Arabidopsis thaliana: one gene and its partners. The protein of the gene in region 4 purifies or fractionates together with the protein of the main gene of each other region. This does not show direct contact. Each region holds a gene or a part of one and is shown on either strand. Other genes may lie near its edges. The genes, in order: AT1G61700, PAD2, AT4G36080 and NRPB5.

Region 1 (3,468 bases), on a different chromosome or scaffold from region 4:
GTAAAAACTCGAATTTGAGTCTAAGCCAAACTCTCAAATTCTGGGTTCAGCGGGCTCAAATTCTTTTAGAAAATCTTAATCTGTAATAGACTAATAGACAATATTTCCAAGCATTCAGTGAGTTATATAGCTCTACCTCTCTATTCAAATGTAATTTGTTTTCTTCATATTTGTCTCCTTGGTTTGTGTTTGAAAAAAAATAAAATAAAAAAAGTCTCCTTGGTTTGTTAAGTTCAGTATATTGTTCAATAAACATATTTCAGAATAAATTTTTATAATAAAAATATATCTTAATAAACATTTGATCCAAAATAAATATATATTCAACTAATTATAGTGTATATTTAATATAAATATTTATATTTCTTTTGTTAAATGGTTTCCTTGAATTAATACAACCACTTGTAACTAAAAAACTTTGATATTCTCCGGTTATAAAATGGGAGCTCCATTCAAATTGTTTTTATGTGCTCTGTTCTCATTACCAATTTGATATCGTACAAAAAGAGCTGCTTCCTACTCGTGATCTAGATTGTAGATTTGAACCTTATCAAATGTGTGATCTTTACTATTTATCAGGATTAGATTACCAAAAACAAATCAATAGATGATGACTCTACAGGCTTGAGCTTTATTTTTGGCTCGAAAAATTGTCTAGATTTCTAAAACCGAACAAGAACATCAGAAAACATTGAAATATCAACATTCCTAGTTATAAATTAAACCAAAATTTCTGAAACATTGTGGTTTTATTAAGACGCCCACATGGATGAGATGCATCACTCCTTCACTTCAGCTCTTGATGATTTGTTATTCATTATAGCATCTTTTTTTAATTGGGGTCGGATTTCTCCATAGCTGCAAAAGAGAAGTATTCGAATAAGCAAGTTAACAAAAAGAATAGAGCAGAGGCAACACAAGGCAAAAGAACCGGGTATGGAGATATTACTGTTGTAGTTTAGAAGCTTTTCGATTAGATCGACATGAGTCATAAGCATACGCCTGCAGCAGTAACGGACTAATCCAAGCGCGTCAAGAGCATCCCTGCGTATTCCAAAACCAAAATTCAGATTTTCAGTTCAACAAAATGCAATTTTAGCATAATGCCTAAAACCAAAGTAGCTAAAAGATTAGATAGAAACAAGAGAATGGAATATATCAGTGATCACCTACCATCATGCTCTTTACTAACACTTAAGATAACATCTATGAACTTCAAGATGATCAAATTGCAACTAAAACAAAAACGAAATTGCGCAATTCCAAATCATGTAGCTTAACACCTAGAACCAAACGGGCTAAAGATTACACTAGCGATTAAAACAAGAAAATCGAAAAATCCCAATGATCTAACTTCATGCTTTTAGTAACAAGGCTAAAACATGTATAAACTTTCAAGATGATCATACAAGACAAGATCATGCAATCTCTTTGACTACACAAAACCATCAAATCATTCTATTGTCATGTTCCACTATTGTTTCATCTTTTACATGACTCTCATTTCAACTAAGAAAATGTCAGAAAACGTTCAAAATTCCAAGATTCAATCACTCTCATGTTCACCAAAAAAATTTCTCACAAATTATGATTCTTTTTCTAATCATAAACTATATATCGCTTACCCTTCAGCGTAATCAGCCTGGAGAAGTTCAAGGTATGTGTCCCATTTGTTCCCAATCACCTACAAAAAATCATAAACAAAAGCTTCATAAATCTCAATACTACAAACCCTAGAGATTTGTCACACACATATATATATAACAAATCGAAATCGTACAAAAAGAGAGAAGAAAAAACAAACCTTTCCACAAGTAAAACAACGAACAGGGACGATCATCGTGAACGAATCGAAACTTTAAGAGTTTATCGTCTCAAAGCGATCTTTAGGGCTTGTCTCTTTCTAACTTCGTTCTCGTCTCAAAGCAAAAATTAGTTTCATGTCTAATTATTATTGCTTTATATATTGAGTCCTATTATGTGTTTTAGCTAAAACGATACCGTATTAGTTAAAATTATTTATTTTATATCTGACAATAGAGGAGGAAAAGTATTCTTCTTCTTCTTCTTCTTCATCTGCTCGATCTTTTACATTTCCGGTAAGATCAAAATCAAAACCAAGTTCGTTTCGCGGCGGAGGAGAAGAAGAATCAGACGGGAAAATGTTGGAGAAGATCGGATTACCGCCGAAGCCATCTCTAAGAGGAAATAGTTGGGTCGTTGATGCTTCTCATTGTCAAGGATGTTCTTCTCAATTCACTTTCATCAATCGCAAGGTCTTCCTCTCTCTTAATTTCCTTACTCTCTCTATCAATTGGTACTTGCTTATTGCTATCGCGATCTTTAGATTCTTAGTTTCTTCGATCGAAATTTAGTTTCGTCTTAGTCGATTCTTCTTCGAGATCTAATTCAGAATCTGTTTATCGGAAAACTTCACTGAATGATCGGTTTCTGGTGATGTGCCTATTTGATAGATTCCATATTTTTGAGTAAATTTGGTGAATCTGGATGTTTTGTGGTTTGTGTATTACTAGACTTGTGACTTGCTGGATTCTTCTATGTCTCCCAAAAACCTTTGAATTTGCTTAATTTTTCTTAGTTTCTGTTGGCTTTGTTTTTTTGAGCGAGCAGCATCATTGCCGGAGATGTGGGGGATTGTTCTGTGGAACCTGCACTCAGCAAAGGTTGTCACTACGTGGACAAGGTGACTCACCTGTGCGTATATGTGAACCATGTAAGAAAATTGAAGAAGCTGCACGGTTTGAGTTGCGTCATGGTTACAAAAATAGAGCTGCTAAAGGTATTTATGTACCTATAGTGATCTTATTTATGACACTTTTGTGTTATCTGCTAGTTTTTGATGTAAAGAGATTGTGAATTTGTTCAGGAGGTAGCTCGAAAAGGACTGTAAAGAATGAGGATGATGTTCTCAGTGAGATTCTAGGCTCTGATGTTGATGTATCTTCTTCATCTGAATCTGTGTCTAGCACAGACAGGAATGCTTCTAAAGAAATGGCAAGTAGCAGTAGTAATAAAGGTATGGAGTTGGATGCTAGTCCTGAAGAATTGCGTAAACAAGCAGTAGAAGCGAAGAATAAGTACAGAATTCTTAAAGGAGAAGGGAAATCTGATGAAGCTCTAAAAGCATTTAAGAGAGGGAGGGAACTTGAGAGAGAGGCCGACGCATTAGAGATATCTTTAAGAAGGAACCGGAAAAGGGAACTGTCTATGCGAAATGTTGCTGAGACGCAGAACAAGGCTGCTACCAAAGAATCTAGCAAATCACAAAAGCCTCTACGTCAAGGGGGTAAAGGAAATGATGATTTGGCAGCTGACCTGAGGGAGCTTGGGTGGTCTGACGATGAAGATAAGAAACCAGCAACTATAAGTTTGGAGGGCGAATTTTCGTCTCTTCTCCGTGAAATTCCGCGAAGTGCTAATCCTCAGAAGACTGGGGGTATTGACAAG
Region 2 (3,808 bases), on a different chromosome or scaffold from region 4:
ATACCAGCTGACTGTATTATAGTTTATTTGTTTGAAAATAATATTATCGATTGATCTGTATTGTGATTATGCAGATGGCACGTGATTCGGAAGCCAAAACTCTGGCAAGTGGAGCAATCCTCAATACAAACAAAGGTCAGGGTCTTTCCCTTTTTTTTTCAGGAATAGAAACTAATTATACATGTCCAATACATATCAAACCTGTATATGCTTACAAATTTGATGTGTGAATGCAGAAGAATCTGAGAGAGCAGAGGAACATAAGCTATGAGGGGTCAAGAGTGGCAGATATATCAGTGATGGCCACAGAGTATAGCCCCGTGCTGAAATGGCTTAGCTACAGGGCATCTCCAGATGCGTTTCCGGGAATGGGCGAAGAGACAGATGAGGAGGACAGTGATATTTCTGAAGATGATGAAATACAAGACTGGTGACATTCACCATCTTAAGTGTCTTATATGTTAGGTCAGATAGAACTGGTATGATAGTTAACAACTTAACATCAAGGGAAGGAACACTAATTGTTCTGCTTACTTATAAATAGAAAATGGAGAGTCACTTCTCTATCTAACAATGAGCAACAGCAAATTTATCCTTGGTTTGATCAAGATCAAGCGAATTTTAAACCCTTTCTTCAGTTTTTTTTTGGAGCATTTTCAAGTTAACAAAACGATGGGGTCAGGTTCTTCTTTTGCCAAAGAGTTGGCTCGAGTCAAAACAAGATTGAGAAACAGAAGCAGCGAAGAAGGTAAGTTCAGATTGAGAAACAGAAACAGTTATTGTTTTATCAAGTTTCCTTTGGAGGGCCTTTCTTGGCTGCTTCTGCGGCCGCCTTTTCAGCTTCGATCTTGGCCACGATTGCATCAATTTCAGCTTCTTCTAGCTGGCGCAGCCCAGTTTCCTCCCGTGTCATTACGGCAACCTCAATGTTCTTTCCGCCACTCTCAACTACCTGCAATGCAAAGCCGATATCAAAACAGCTATGATCTCAAAGGACAAAAAATCCTGAAATAACAAAATATCAGCTAGGACGGAGAGGGCACCAACCTCAAGCAGAGCACGGATAGCGAGTTTAATAGTTTCTTGGCCAGAGGATTCTTTGTAGTTCTTCTCGAGGAATTCCCTAATAGAGTTGGAGTTTCTGCCGGTAGCATTAGCTTTCCAAGCAGAGAAAGTCCCAGAAGGATCAGTCTGATATAGGGAAGGGAGGCGAGAGTAAGGGTCAAAGCCAACGATAAGAGTAGAAAGACCGAAGGGTCTGACACCACCACTTTGGGTATACTTCTGTTGAAGGCCAGCAATGTAGCGAGTGATGTACTCAACAGTGACAGGGTCCTCAAGTGTAAGCCTGTGGCTTTGACACTCGATCCTTGCTTTGTTAATCAAGACTCGGGCATCAGCCTTGAGCCCCGCGCATGCCAAGGCAATGTGATTGTCAAGGCTCACAATTTTTCTGGCTGATCTGTCAGAAACAAGCACAGGACATCAGCTTCATCTAACAAACTAGATAGAGAAACACAAATACCTCTCCAAAATATATTGGTTAGGCAGCAGTATAAGAGAATTGAACAATTAAGTAGATTTCTTTTCAGGGAAGGGCCAAAGCCATCATACATGTTAGAAAAGAGTAACAACTGAGACAATCGCAATTAGGAACAAGGTTCAATTTTAAACAAGGGTTTCAGCTGCAGATTCCATTAAATAGGGAACAAGACCAAAATAAAGCAGTCGTATCAACATTGTTCAGTCAACTAGCAACTGAGAGTAAACCAAGCAGGATCCAATAAGTAGAGAGGGCAAGTCTGTTAATTGGTGCCATGATAAAAGTGAAGAGATGGAAATAAAACCTAGAATCCTGAAGCTTGGGGGTGGACTTCTTCTCGACGGCGAGGACAACGGTGTCGGTACCGCGGACACCGACGGCGGCGTTACCCTTGCGGACGGCTTCAAGGGCGTATTCGACTTGAAAGAGGTGACCGTCGGGGGAGAAGACAGTAATTGCTCGATCGTATCTAGCCATCTCTCTCTCCGCTTTTTATTTTCGTTTTCGTTTTCAGGGCAAATTATAAAAAGACGAATCCCAACTTCTGCGACAAGCCAAGAACAGAAAAAAAAAAAAAAAAAAGAAGAAGGAAATACTCTACTCAGATCTTCAAGTTTTTGAGAAGAGAGACAAATCGCGCACTCATCATTTCCTTTAAATGGGCCTTATATACCCAAAACTTCCATAACAGGCCCATTAACACAGTATAATGGTCGATTAAAAAATACATGAACCTTCCTCCCGCGCTTTCTAACTAACCAAACCGTTGATGAATGAATGATTTAAAACATTGTACAAACATATTGGCGCAATCATCCCACAAACAACTTTCTTCTTCGTTGTTTCTGATAAAACTGAACCACAAATGTACGAATCTCCATGGGACCAAGCTCTACTACTAAAGTCGACTTGTCAACGGGTCCGCCTCTTAGCGGGGAAGAAGGTTGTTCCGCTTCACCCTCCACTTTCCACTTCATCTTCTCCTTCATCTTTACTTTCTCTTGATTTGCTGACAAACTCATTTCCGTCACTTCTTTGATCTGCAAAAATAGTATGGATTCATTCACCACCTAGCTAGCTAGTATGTTAGAGTATCTCTCCACATGTAGATGAGCAAGTGTGTTTCTTACCATTTTGCCGGAAAACAACTTCTTCAACTCAACTTTAGCGATTTTAGAGTAATCACTGTCTTCTCCCGCCTGTAAACAACGCTCAACACTCAATTACTGTCAGGTATATCCCAATTCAAGAACATCTAACTGTACGTACCTCGTAGAGATGAGCCAGGCGAAGAAGGACGTTCCCGAGATCCAACTCCTCAAGAGTGATGAGAGCAATGTTTTGAGGCAAGGTGTAGAGATGATCCATGGCATAACCTTTCACAGTATTTGAGGCTTTCCATTTCTCCTTGTTCTCGTGTGCGAATGCCATTAGAAGAGGTGAGTATATTTCCTGTCCAGTCTCTCGTCTCCACCGCCCTCCTTCTCCTACCTTATTTATGCTTACATAGTAATTCCCACGAATCTGCATTTACACAAGTATGTATCAAGTTTTGTCCTGGACAAAACACACACAATTTCTCAATTAATCATTCATACCGTCAATCCTGCGCAGGTGTCATTCACACACACAGTTTCTACAAGGCTCTCCTCCACTCCTCTCGAGTCATCCATGGACGTTCTCCTGTTCCCATGGATGTTTCATCAGTGTCAACTACACAATAATGTTTCATGTTTTAAAAATACAGACTAATGACACTAATGAAATTTGGAACCTGTGAAGCATCAACTCTATTTCACCGTCCTTAATACTTGCACCCCCAGTAGCCCGATCAACCAACACCGACAACTCTGCTTTCTCGTCTTTTATGTACATTCCAAGATTAAGCTGAAAAGATACACTAACAATGCGTTAGAACTGTAAAGCCATTCACAATCGATATAGTCCAAATTTTTCTTGGTTTTGCAATTTCTGCTGGACATCAAATAGTTTACCGGATAGTAGTTTCCTGCTATTGGCTCATTCACTTCGAGATGCCAGTCTGTTCGGTTGTCCCGGACCTGCAATAGAGTTTAATCTATTTGTTGAAACCGGGCAATACGATCTCATTGGTGTTTAAAATACGAGAACACAGAAAAATCTTAGGGTACCCGTTTCAGAAAGTCTCTTCCATTAGAGTCAGTATAGAACTCCTTAGCTGTAGTCATATCTGTTACCATTCGCGTGATAATCTCTTTTCCTGTTAGATGTCCCTTACCAACAGAA
Region 3 (4,687 bases), on a different chromosome or scaffold from region 4:
AAGATACGTCCCTATAAACAGATGATGAGTAAAGTAAGTTAATGATTAGAGCAGCCAACCGATTCTAATATGAGCTCTCAGGTGTAAAGTTATACCAACAATATTCGCGCTTCATCCATTGACTGCTGATCAATGCCTTTCTCAAATATCGGTTCTACCTGAACCCAATATAAGTATTAAGTTATACTAAAATCTTGATTCAAACATAATGGAGAGATTATGTCACATAAATGTTAAGTAATATATCGAATTTAAATAAGGCAAACTAGATGAAAAAAATAGGTTTACCAGATTTAACATCAGACGCGCACAAGTTGTATGGATGTTAAGAGAGAGGGTCGAGTCATGCATGTTCCTTGAAAATAAGTAGATGATCCGCGATAACTGCCACGTTGTTTACAGTCAAATAAGATGAATTGTAAAAGAAAAATCACCCATAGAGTAGACAATGGAATGGGAAAAGATCTAAAAGAGAGAAGCCTGATTGATGTTGGCAAGAAAGATTGACCAATATGTTGTTCCTAAGATTAGTTGTTTATTGGCATCTCGATCTGTCAGAATTTTTTGGGAGGCCCTAGGTTTCAAGTCTATAAGCAAGGAACATATTTCCCAAGTGTGAGCACTTTCTGATCACAATTGATAAGACTGTTAAGATGAGGATCTATTTTAATACACAACCACATATACATAGCAAGAACTGTGTGTACTGGAACACATTAGTCTCACCTACTATAGAATCCAATGTTTTGCAAAGTTTCCAGAACTTAACTCTCTCAACTAAGAAGAGCTAATCTAGGAAGAGAGGACTAACAAATAAAAACAAAAACAAAGATAAGGTAAAGTAAGAAATAAATTGCACAGACACAACGGGAAGCACCTGAGAAAGGGACAAATCTGCTCGAACATGGTGAACAATCTCGGCCAGTAGGCTGTAAGCCAGAGGTCTCAAAGACTCAAAGCATGCTCGCCCCGTTCCAACTAGAACCCTGACACAGAAAAAAATAGCAAATAGATGACATAAGTCATTATTTGTTAATATATTATACTGCGGCACAGTGAAATTATACAGAACAGTAGAAGGTCTACTTGATAAAACAAAACAGCTTCCTGACAGGTGTACAAGTTTAAGAATTCAGAAAGGCAAAAAAGGCACATTATACCTCTCTTCCAAAAGAGTGTCAATAAGAGGAAATAAACCTCTCTTGAAATCCGTCCCAAGTACATGCTTTAGTGAGACTAATAGTTCCTGCATTTCATAGACCAAAAAAATATTCTTTACTTGCAAGCCCATGACTGTATTACAAGGTGAAAACATAAAGAAGAAAAAGGAACAGACAGTTCTCCACCTTTCTGATAGATGCAGAATCCGAACAGGTGACAAGCAAATTTACAATGCTCTTACAAATGCTTTCTTCATGCGGCTTGATATATTCGGCACAACTTTTTAACAAATAAGTCAAAAAGGAAACGGTCTGCAAACAAACACTACAAGTCAATATCCCTTAAAAAACAAAATAATTCAGGTGAAACAACAAGGCAGTGTAGGCCTTAATTAAATATTTTTCTCACTGCCCAAATAAGTTATGGTTTCCTTCTGGATAGAGAGCCATTGTCTCACCTTAACCTGAGCACCCTTCAGTTCGATGAACTGAGGCTTCATATGTGAAGAAACTTTCTCAGGTCCAGGAATAGATATAGCAGCAACCATCAGGGGTAACAAATTAGGAATATTAATCTGAACAAGTCTGCTATACAGCTGAAAAAGAAACATAACGACGAGGGGGCTCTCTGTGACTATTTTGAATGAACGAGTACTTGGGTTGATCTGCCCATTCCTGGAAGGTGCAGTAATGGACAGCGACTGATCAGATGGTGTAGGTATCTCCACAGGTTTCACTTCTTCCATTTTGACATTCTCGAAAAAATGGCTAACCGTCAATCTGAAGTTCTGGTATATTTTGCAGACAAAATCCAAGAATGGTTGAACCTCATTTTCTAATGTTGGCCTAAAGTTCCTAAGAAGATCAAAGATGATGCGAATGCATATTAACCCATTTTCTTCATTATCTGTCGTGAGCACCTGCATTGCAACTTTCAAGAGGTCTTGCACAAAAGGACGAAGAACCTCGCTATGTGGTAGACGATTGAGGATCTCAACCACAATGTTGCGTAGTTTGTGCTCAATATTATCAGTAAATTGAGGCTTTGTAATCTGAAGAAGAATCACTGAAGATGCCCGGAAGTAACATTTCAGAAAATTCAAGTACTCAGCCGTATGTGTGATCTCTAGACTGTCCCTGACCTCCACCACCATCGCAAGCCTCTCCTCAATAGCTATAGAACACAAAAACAAGCTTCGAGTAAGTGTCGCTACATTTTTAAATTAACTTGAACTGACTCAAAATCAAACAAAAATTCCTCAGACAAAATCAAAGCTTGAAGAAATTTTCAAATCCAAAATCAAAGAAACTAATTCTGAGCAACAAACAAACAACCCAACGACGAAATGAAGAGAAAGAGCAGAGAATGAGTGGTATTACGTAGGTCAGGCTCCACGAGACGACGAGAGTGTTGCTCAAAATTCTGAATTGGACTCATGGCTATAAAAAAAGCTGACCCAGACAAGCGAAAACGCTGTCTTAGGGTTCCGTCACATAGTAGGAATAGTAAACGTTGCTTCCTCCTCCTCCTTTCTAAAACCCAAACCGCGACGATCCCTAACGCTAAGCCCAAGGTGCTCCACTAGGTCAGACACTAACAAGGGTTTATCAAATTAAGCTAATTTAATAAGAGTCGGTTATCTGGTATAACACCAATAGCCTCGAGGTTAACGATGGAAGATGATGAATTTTCCCTCTCGATTTTTTTTTTTGGTGTGGGTCTCTCTGCGAGACTCCCCTGAAAAGAGAAAGCGAGGAGAACCTTTGAGAACTCGAGCGTAGCAGTGCAACGAAACGAAATTCAGCAGCCGAGTTATATATAAAGGTCCCAACTTTTTTTATATAAAAAGTCCCCATTGTTCCCTCAAATTTCAGAAATGCGAAGAAAACAAAATCTTATGGTTAAGGAAATGTAATTAACACTGATAATATAGTTGTGTTCGTTTTTTATAATCATCGAACAAGTTTTACACGGAGAATGAAAGTTTACAGAAAAAAAGAGAGAAATCTTTCACGCCATTTTTTTTTTCTTTCAGAAGAAACCAATTGGATGATATTTTCGTCTATTCAACCATATAGTTGAAATTATCGTAAAAAATTCGGTCAAAACGAAAAGAATTATTAGAAGCAATTTCTATAATTTGTTCTGTGGTAAAATCAAATATTATGTTCGTGTTACAAATTCTCAGACGTTGTCGGAGCTAGTAACCTTGGGTCTATAGGACCTATTAGGAGTATGTCGTGAAGTTTCTCTTCGTTGGCCCGATGATGACCGCTCTCGACTCTCAGAATGATAATCTCTCGACCTACGATACTTGCTTCCTCCTCCATGTGCAGTTCGATTGTTGTGATTACTACCATTTTGATCAATGCTGGATCTTGAAGAGCTAATGACTGCATCAGCAGGAGTACTCGGCGTGGTGTGTTCGTATGGCAACGGCTTAATCTCCTCCAAATCAGGTTCCGGGGTGAATCCGACTGGTCTTTTCGACTCGTCCATTTTCCTAAACGTGATCGATATCCTGAAAGCAGAACCGACGATAGCAAAAACAGTATGAACAAAACAAAACGAGATAACACCGATAAATTGCAAAACACCAAATCCTTTTGTAAAAAGAGAGAGTAATGGTTTCATTACCAAACATATAAATAAACGTTGACAAACAATCAAGGTGCTAACAAATTACCTCTTTGTGGGAACGGCAGGTACACAATGCTTAGCGACATCAGCTCCATTACCCTTGAGCACTAGAACTGATCTGAAGCAAAAAAAGTGAAAAACTCGTCAAAAAGTTAAGCAACAGAAGCTTCAGTAGAATAAACTCAGAGAGGGTACGCAAACTTTAGTGATTTACCCGACAGGAAGCGGTATAGAGTAAGAACCGGAGAATTCACCAGGTCCTAAGACTTTGAGATTTGAACCAAAGAGTATATTGCATTCACTGAGGAATGATACTGTGCAGAAAGGGCGGAGGAAGTCATGGTTATCGATGTGAGGAGGTATGCAATCGTCTTCCTCATAGATATTGACGATACAACTATCCGGTACACAAGTTGGAGGAAGTACATGCCACCCAACCAACCTTTTGATTATTACTTTGAAAATAGATGGCATTGGATCAACATCTCCACGTTGAAGGATTCCGGGTGGGTTTCCCGCTTTGTCCTATCCAAAAAACAAAAAACTCTTTCCATATTCACTATAGTTGATAAAATGTTTTCATTTTTAAAGATGAGGAAAGAGTCACTTACCGGTGCATAGTTATAACAACATCCGAATTGAATAGTAACTCGTCCTTTGCCTCTCATCCACTTATGCGGAGCGGTAAAAGTACGCTCTAGATATCGAAAAAGAACCAAAAATTCAAGATTAGATAAGTACCGTTTAGAGTTTTCAAATTCACATTATGCAAAAAGCAATGAAAGAAAACCAGAAGCAAACCTCGCAATTCTCCTCTACGGCCTTTCTCTTGTAGTTCATAGACAAAATCAACAATCTTTTTCTGCTCCACCGCGCTAAAAACACC
Region 4 (4,080 bases):
TCGCAAAACTTGATGCACTGCATAGCAAGAGCATGCAACTAGCTGCTGAACGAAAAGGCTTGGCTCTGCATAGCTAGCATAATAATACCAAGCTCCTTGGGTGTGATCCCCTTTGCAGTGAATCCAGATTTAGTTTCATCCAGTCTTATAGGCCCAAGAACGGGTTCTTGTACACATACTTGGTGATTCTGAGGGTTACAAAGCTGAGATCCCATAAACGTTGAAAGGCGTTCAGGTGGTGGTATAAGAATCATTGAGATGAGTAAAACAGTCAACACCACCCACAAGGGCATGCAAATCAATGGTAGCCATCTCAACACCATCCCCCAGCTTCTCCATTTGGAGACATTTTGAAAAAAACTCAAGAACGGCGCCTGTACAACCGTCAACACTCATCCACAGCTGATCTGAAGTCAGTAATACTCTGGAAGAAGTATCAGTTTTGAACATTTTAAAAATTGATATTTACGATTTTTTTCTTTTTAGGGTGTTAAGGAATGGGGATTATCGACAAACAAGTGATGAATCAGATTATTAACAAAATATGGCATTTGTTGGGATGAACAAATACAAACAAGTCGGAATCGGATCTTGCAAGTTTTTGGATAGAAAACTAATACAAATAAGTTGTTTCAAGCTTTAATTTCTCCTATCGGACAAACAAAAATAAAACACAGTCATCAGTTTGGTTTAGTACAAAAGCATTACTCTTATGTTTCACAACTCTCAGCGTTCAATTCGCATTACAATCCACAAAAGCCTTTTGCTTTGGCTTATACAACATAACGATAGGTAACATAACGACCAGCCGTTTCACTCGGACGAATGATCTTCACGACTTGCCCACGTTTTAGTCCAAAGTATCTTGCGATTGGATCAGTCACTTGGATCCTTGGAAGCTAACAACACCCACAAAGTTCCAAACATTTAATAACACAACAAAAATTTCATCACCAAGAATTCAAACAAAGTTTCTATATACTACTAACCTGTGTCTCCTTCACTGTGTATCTCTCCAGTAAAGTTTTCTTCTCTTCAGTGGTAAGAACTTGATGCTCAGGAACAAGAACATGTTCTTTAATGTTCACTAGCATTTCCGCCTCCTGCAGCATCCACCACCAAATCATGGTTTAGTAGGATTGTGATGTGGATACATCATCATCAAGAGTCAAGACACAAAGTGATTTGTTTTACCTGGAAAACTTCCAGATGAAACTTAGAAGAGATCTCACTAATGCAAGTTCGAGCAAACGGGGTCAAGTTCTGTTGCACAACCAAAATAGCTCTGAACACATTCTCTGATTTCATCCTGTTCGTGTACATTTTCATCGTCTTCACACCAACTTTCGCCTCATCAGGGAAGAATATATAGAGCTACAACAAGAGCACATGAATCAGCGACTAAATCAAACACACATAAACAATCTTTCTACCATATCCACAGCTTCTTAGAGATTAAAGAGATGACATTTATCTATACTTTTGTCAAAATCTAGCTCTCTGTAACATTCCATGTCTACTTACTATTCACATTCAACAACTAGATAAATAATGATAGTCTCCAGCTAAAGAACACTAAAGAGAAGCTGATAATCACATTGAAGGAGAGACATACAACTACAAACCTGATCACTATTATCATTTCGCTTAGCCTTAAGAGTAACAAGATCCTCTCTTTTCATGTTATCACCATGTTTCCTAATAAACTGTTGTTTAGTCATCGTAAGTTCAGAATCCGCGATAAAATATCCACGATCCCTTAACATCTGCATCAACGTCTTCTGGATTCTGTACAATCTTTTGAGCTCCTCTTCCGTCAACATCTTCTTCACCAAGTTATCTGCAGCTTTACCAAAACCATATCAAAATTAGGGTTTTTCAAAAATTGACAGAAACAATTAAGAGTTTATCAATCTCTTTGAGAATATATACACAGATACGAAAACTTACGAATAGAGACAAATCCACAGAGATGATTGAAGAAGCGATTTACAGAGAGAACGACAGTGGAAGAAGAAGAAGAAGAAGCGGCGTTTCAAGCTTTCTCCTTTTACCTCGAACCCTTTTCTCAATTCTATTATATTGAAGCTTTTATTGCATTTGAAACTCCCAATTTATACCGACTTTATGTTTTAACCCTCAACTTTATTTTCGATATTTAAACTCCAATCCTTAATAGCCTGATAAAGGCCCAATGGGCTTGTACGACCCAACATACTTAAACCCTTTAGTTGATTTTTCTCAACTTATTACACTGTTCTTGTTGGAACTAAAACCCTTTGCCTTCTTTCTTCATCTCTCTAAATCCCTAATTCTCCAAATTTTGGGGTTTTACATTTTCCTTATCAAGAGAACACCTGAATCTGAAAATGATCACTACAGTGCTACGACGATCTCTCCTTGATGCGTCGAAGAGGAATCTCTCCGCTTCGTTGACCTCAATCAATACTGTTCTGTTTCACAACCTGGCCCCAGCCGCCACTAGAGTCTCCGACCTAGCCTTAATTGGATCTTCCGATGTCAAAGCTGGGTTTCCGTTTGGTGTTGAAGCGAAAGGAATTCATTTTCAATCTGGGCCGTTGGATTTTAGAGCTTCGATGGTTTCTCAAGCTGGATTTGCGATCTCTGAGAGTAGCGAGAGAAGGGTTGGTGATTCGGAGAGTGTTGGTGGTGATGGGCTTGCGATATCTGAGCTTGGGATATCTCCGGAGATTGTTAAAGCTTTGAGTAGTAAGGGTATTGAGAAACTCTTTCCTATTCAGGTATGTAATGTTGTGAGATCAAAATTTTAAATTGTTCAGCTTTTCGTGTTCCCATGTTTTTGGAAGAAGGGTAAGTGGGTTTTAAGTTTTGTGGTTTTGAGTAGAAAGCTGTGCTGGAGCCAGCGATGGAGGGTCGAGATATGATTGGTCGTGCTAGGACTGGAACGGGAAAGACACTTGCTTTTGGGATTCCTATCATTGACAAAATCATCAAATACAACGCTAAACATGGGTTTGTGTTTACTGAGTCATTTGAGGTTCAGAGAATTATGTTTTCTGGTTGGTTTACTGATTTTTGGGGTTTTATGTGGTTTTTGATGTGATAGACGAGGGAGGAATCCGCTTTGTTTGGTTTTGGCACCGACAAGAGAGCTTGCTCGCCAGGTTGAGAAGGAGTTTAGGGAGTCTGCTCCGAGCTTGGATACTATTTGTCTTTATGGAGGTACACCGATTGGACAGCAAATGAGGCAGCTTGACTATGGTGTTGATGTGGCGGTTGGAACTCCAGGTCGTGTCATTGATCTGATGAAGAGAGGAGCTTTGAATCTATCGGAAGTTCAGTTTGTGGTTCTGGATGAAGCTGATCAGATGCTTCAAGTTGGATTTGCTGAGGATGTTGAAATAATATTGGAAAAGTTGCCTGAGAAACGTCAGAGTATGATGTTTTCTGCAACAATGCCGAGTTGGATCAGATCTCTCACTAAGAAGTACCTGAATAATCCTTTGACAGTTGATCTTGTGAGTAGTCTTGTACCCTCTGAAATTTCTCACAATTCTGAATAATTGATCTTGGAGTTAGCAGAGTTGTTAATGAAGTGATTTCTTATGTGAAATGTGCTTCTATGTTTTTGTTTGCCTAACTGTGATGTGTTATTCAGGTTGGAGATTCTGATCAGAAACTAGCAGATGGAATTACGACATATTCTATCATAGCAGATTCTTATGGAAGAGCATCCATTATTGGTCCTCTTGTAACGGTATGCTTTCCTTACTTTGCTATTAAACGAGTATGAGTTAAATTTTGTGTTATTCAGTAACTGAGTAAGTTATTTGTGTATTTTTTCGGAGTTGTCAGTTGTATATGGAAAGAGTTAATAATATCAATTTTCCTTGCAGGAGCATGCCAAAGGAGGAAAATGCATTGTTTTTACACAAACAAAACGAGATGCTGATCGCCTTTCATATGCATTGGCTAGAAGCTTCAAATGTGAAGCTTTACACGGTGATATATCCCAGAGTCAGAGGGAAAGAACGCTTGCTGGTTTCCGAGATGGGCATTTCAATATTCTTGTTGCGACTGATGTTGCTGCCCGTGGAC

Evidence for each region.
Region 1: the proteins of NRPB5 (region 4) and AT1G61700 fractionate together in Arabidopsis thaliana (co-fractionation; one large-scale study listed by BioGRID). This does not show direct contact.
Region 2: the proteins of NRPB5 (region 4) and PAD2 fractionate together in Arabidopsis thaliana (co-fractionation; one large-scale study listed by BioGRID). This does not show direct contact.
Region 3: the proteins of NRPB5 (region 4) and AT4G36080 fractionate together in Arabidopsis thaliana (co-fractionation; one large-scale study listed by BioGRID). This does not show direct contact.

Annotation. Positions count from the first base shown.
Region 1 is NC_003070.9:22,785,477-22,788,944, reverse strand, and holds AT1G61700 (RNA polymerases N / 8 kDa subunit), read right to left. Parts: upstream 1,934-3,468; 5' UTR 1,841-1,933; coding exon 1,805-1,840; intron 1,685-1,804; coding exon 1,626-1,684; intron 1,045-1,625; coding exon 950-1,044; intron 859-949; coding exon 833-858; 3' UTR 565-832; downstream 1-564. Other genes in the region: AT1G61710 (Cysteine/Histidine-rich C1 domain family protein), read left to right, coding at 1-86; AT1G61690 (phosphoinositide binding protein), read left to right, coding at 2,163-2,276, 2,632-2,800, 2,888-3,468.
Region 2 is NC_003076.8:26,436,658-26,440,465, forward strand, and holds PAD2 (proteasome alpha subunit D2), read right to left. Parts: upstream 2,115-3,808; 5' UTR 2,021-2,114; coding exon 1,848-2,020; intron 1,463-1,847; coding exon 1,048-1,462; intron 953-1,047; coding exon 788-952; 3' UTR 513-787; downstream 1-512. Other genes in the region: ATRAD17 (RADIATION SENSITIVE 17), read left to right, coding at 75-135, 237-434; AT5G66150 (Glycosyl hydrolase family 38 protein), read right to left, coding at 2,356-2,583, 2,674-2,742, 2,813-3,067, 3,142-3,226, 3,318-3,430, 3,538-3,603, 3,694-3,808. UniProt on the Arabidopsis thaliana protein: The proteasome is a multicatalytic proteinase complex which is characterized by its ability to cleave peptides with Arg, Phe, Tyr, Leu, and Glu adjacent to the leaving group at neutral or slightly basic pH.
Region 3 is NC_003075.7:17,075,031-17,079,717, forward strand, and holds the start of AT4G36080 (phosphotransferases/inositol or phosphatidylinositol kinase), read right to left. Parts: upstream 3,010-4,687; 5' UTR 2,599-3,009; coding exon 2,541-2,598; intron 2,335-2,540; coding exon 1,619-2,334; intron 1,473-1,618; coding exon 1,347-1,472; intron 1,247-1,346; coding exon 1,161-1,246; intron 987-1,160; coding exon 878-986; intron 385-877; coding exon 289-384; intron 159-288; coding exon 96-158; intron 12-95; coding exon 1-11. Other genes in the region: AT4G36090 (oxidoreductase, 2OG-Fe(II) oxygenase family protein), read right to left, coding at 3,346-3,682, 3,848-3,919, 4,016-4,326, 4,413-4,498, 4,603-4,687.
Region 4 is NC_003074.8:7,890,272-7,894,351, forward strand, and holds NRPB5 (Eukaryotic rpb5 RNA polymerase subunit family protein), read right to left. Parts: upstream 2,079-4,080; 5' UTR 1,951-2,078; intron 1,841-1,950; 5' UTR 1,824-1,840; coding exon 1,626-1,823; intron 1,375-1,625; coding exon 1,195-1,374; intron 1,104-1,194; coding exon 990-1,103; intron 900-989; coding exon 774-899; 3' UTR 532-773; downstream 1-531. Other genes in the region: PMH2 (putative mitochondrial RNA helicase 2), read left to right, coding at 2,370-2,762, 2,867-2,994, 3,089-3,500, 3,641-3,739, 3,879-4,080.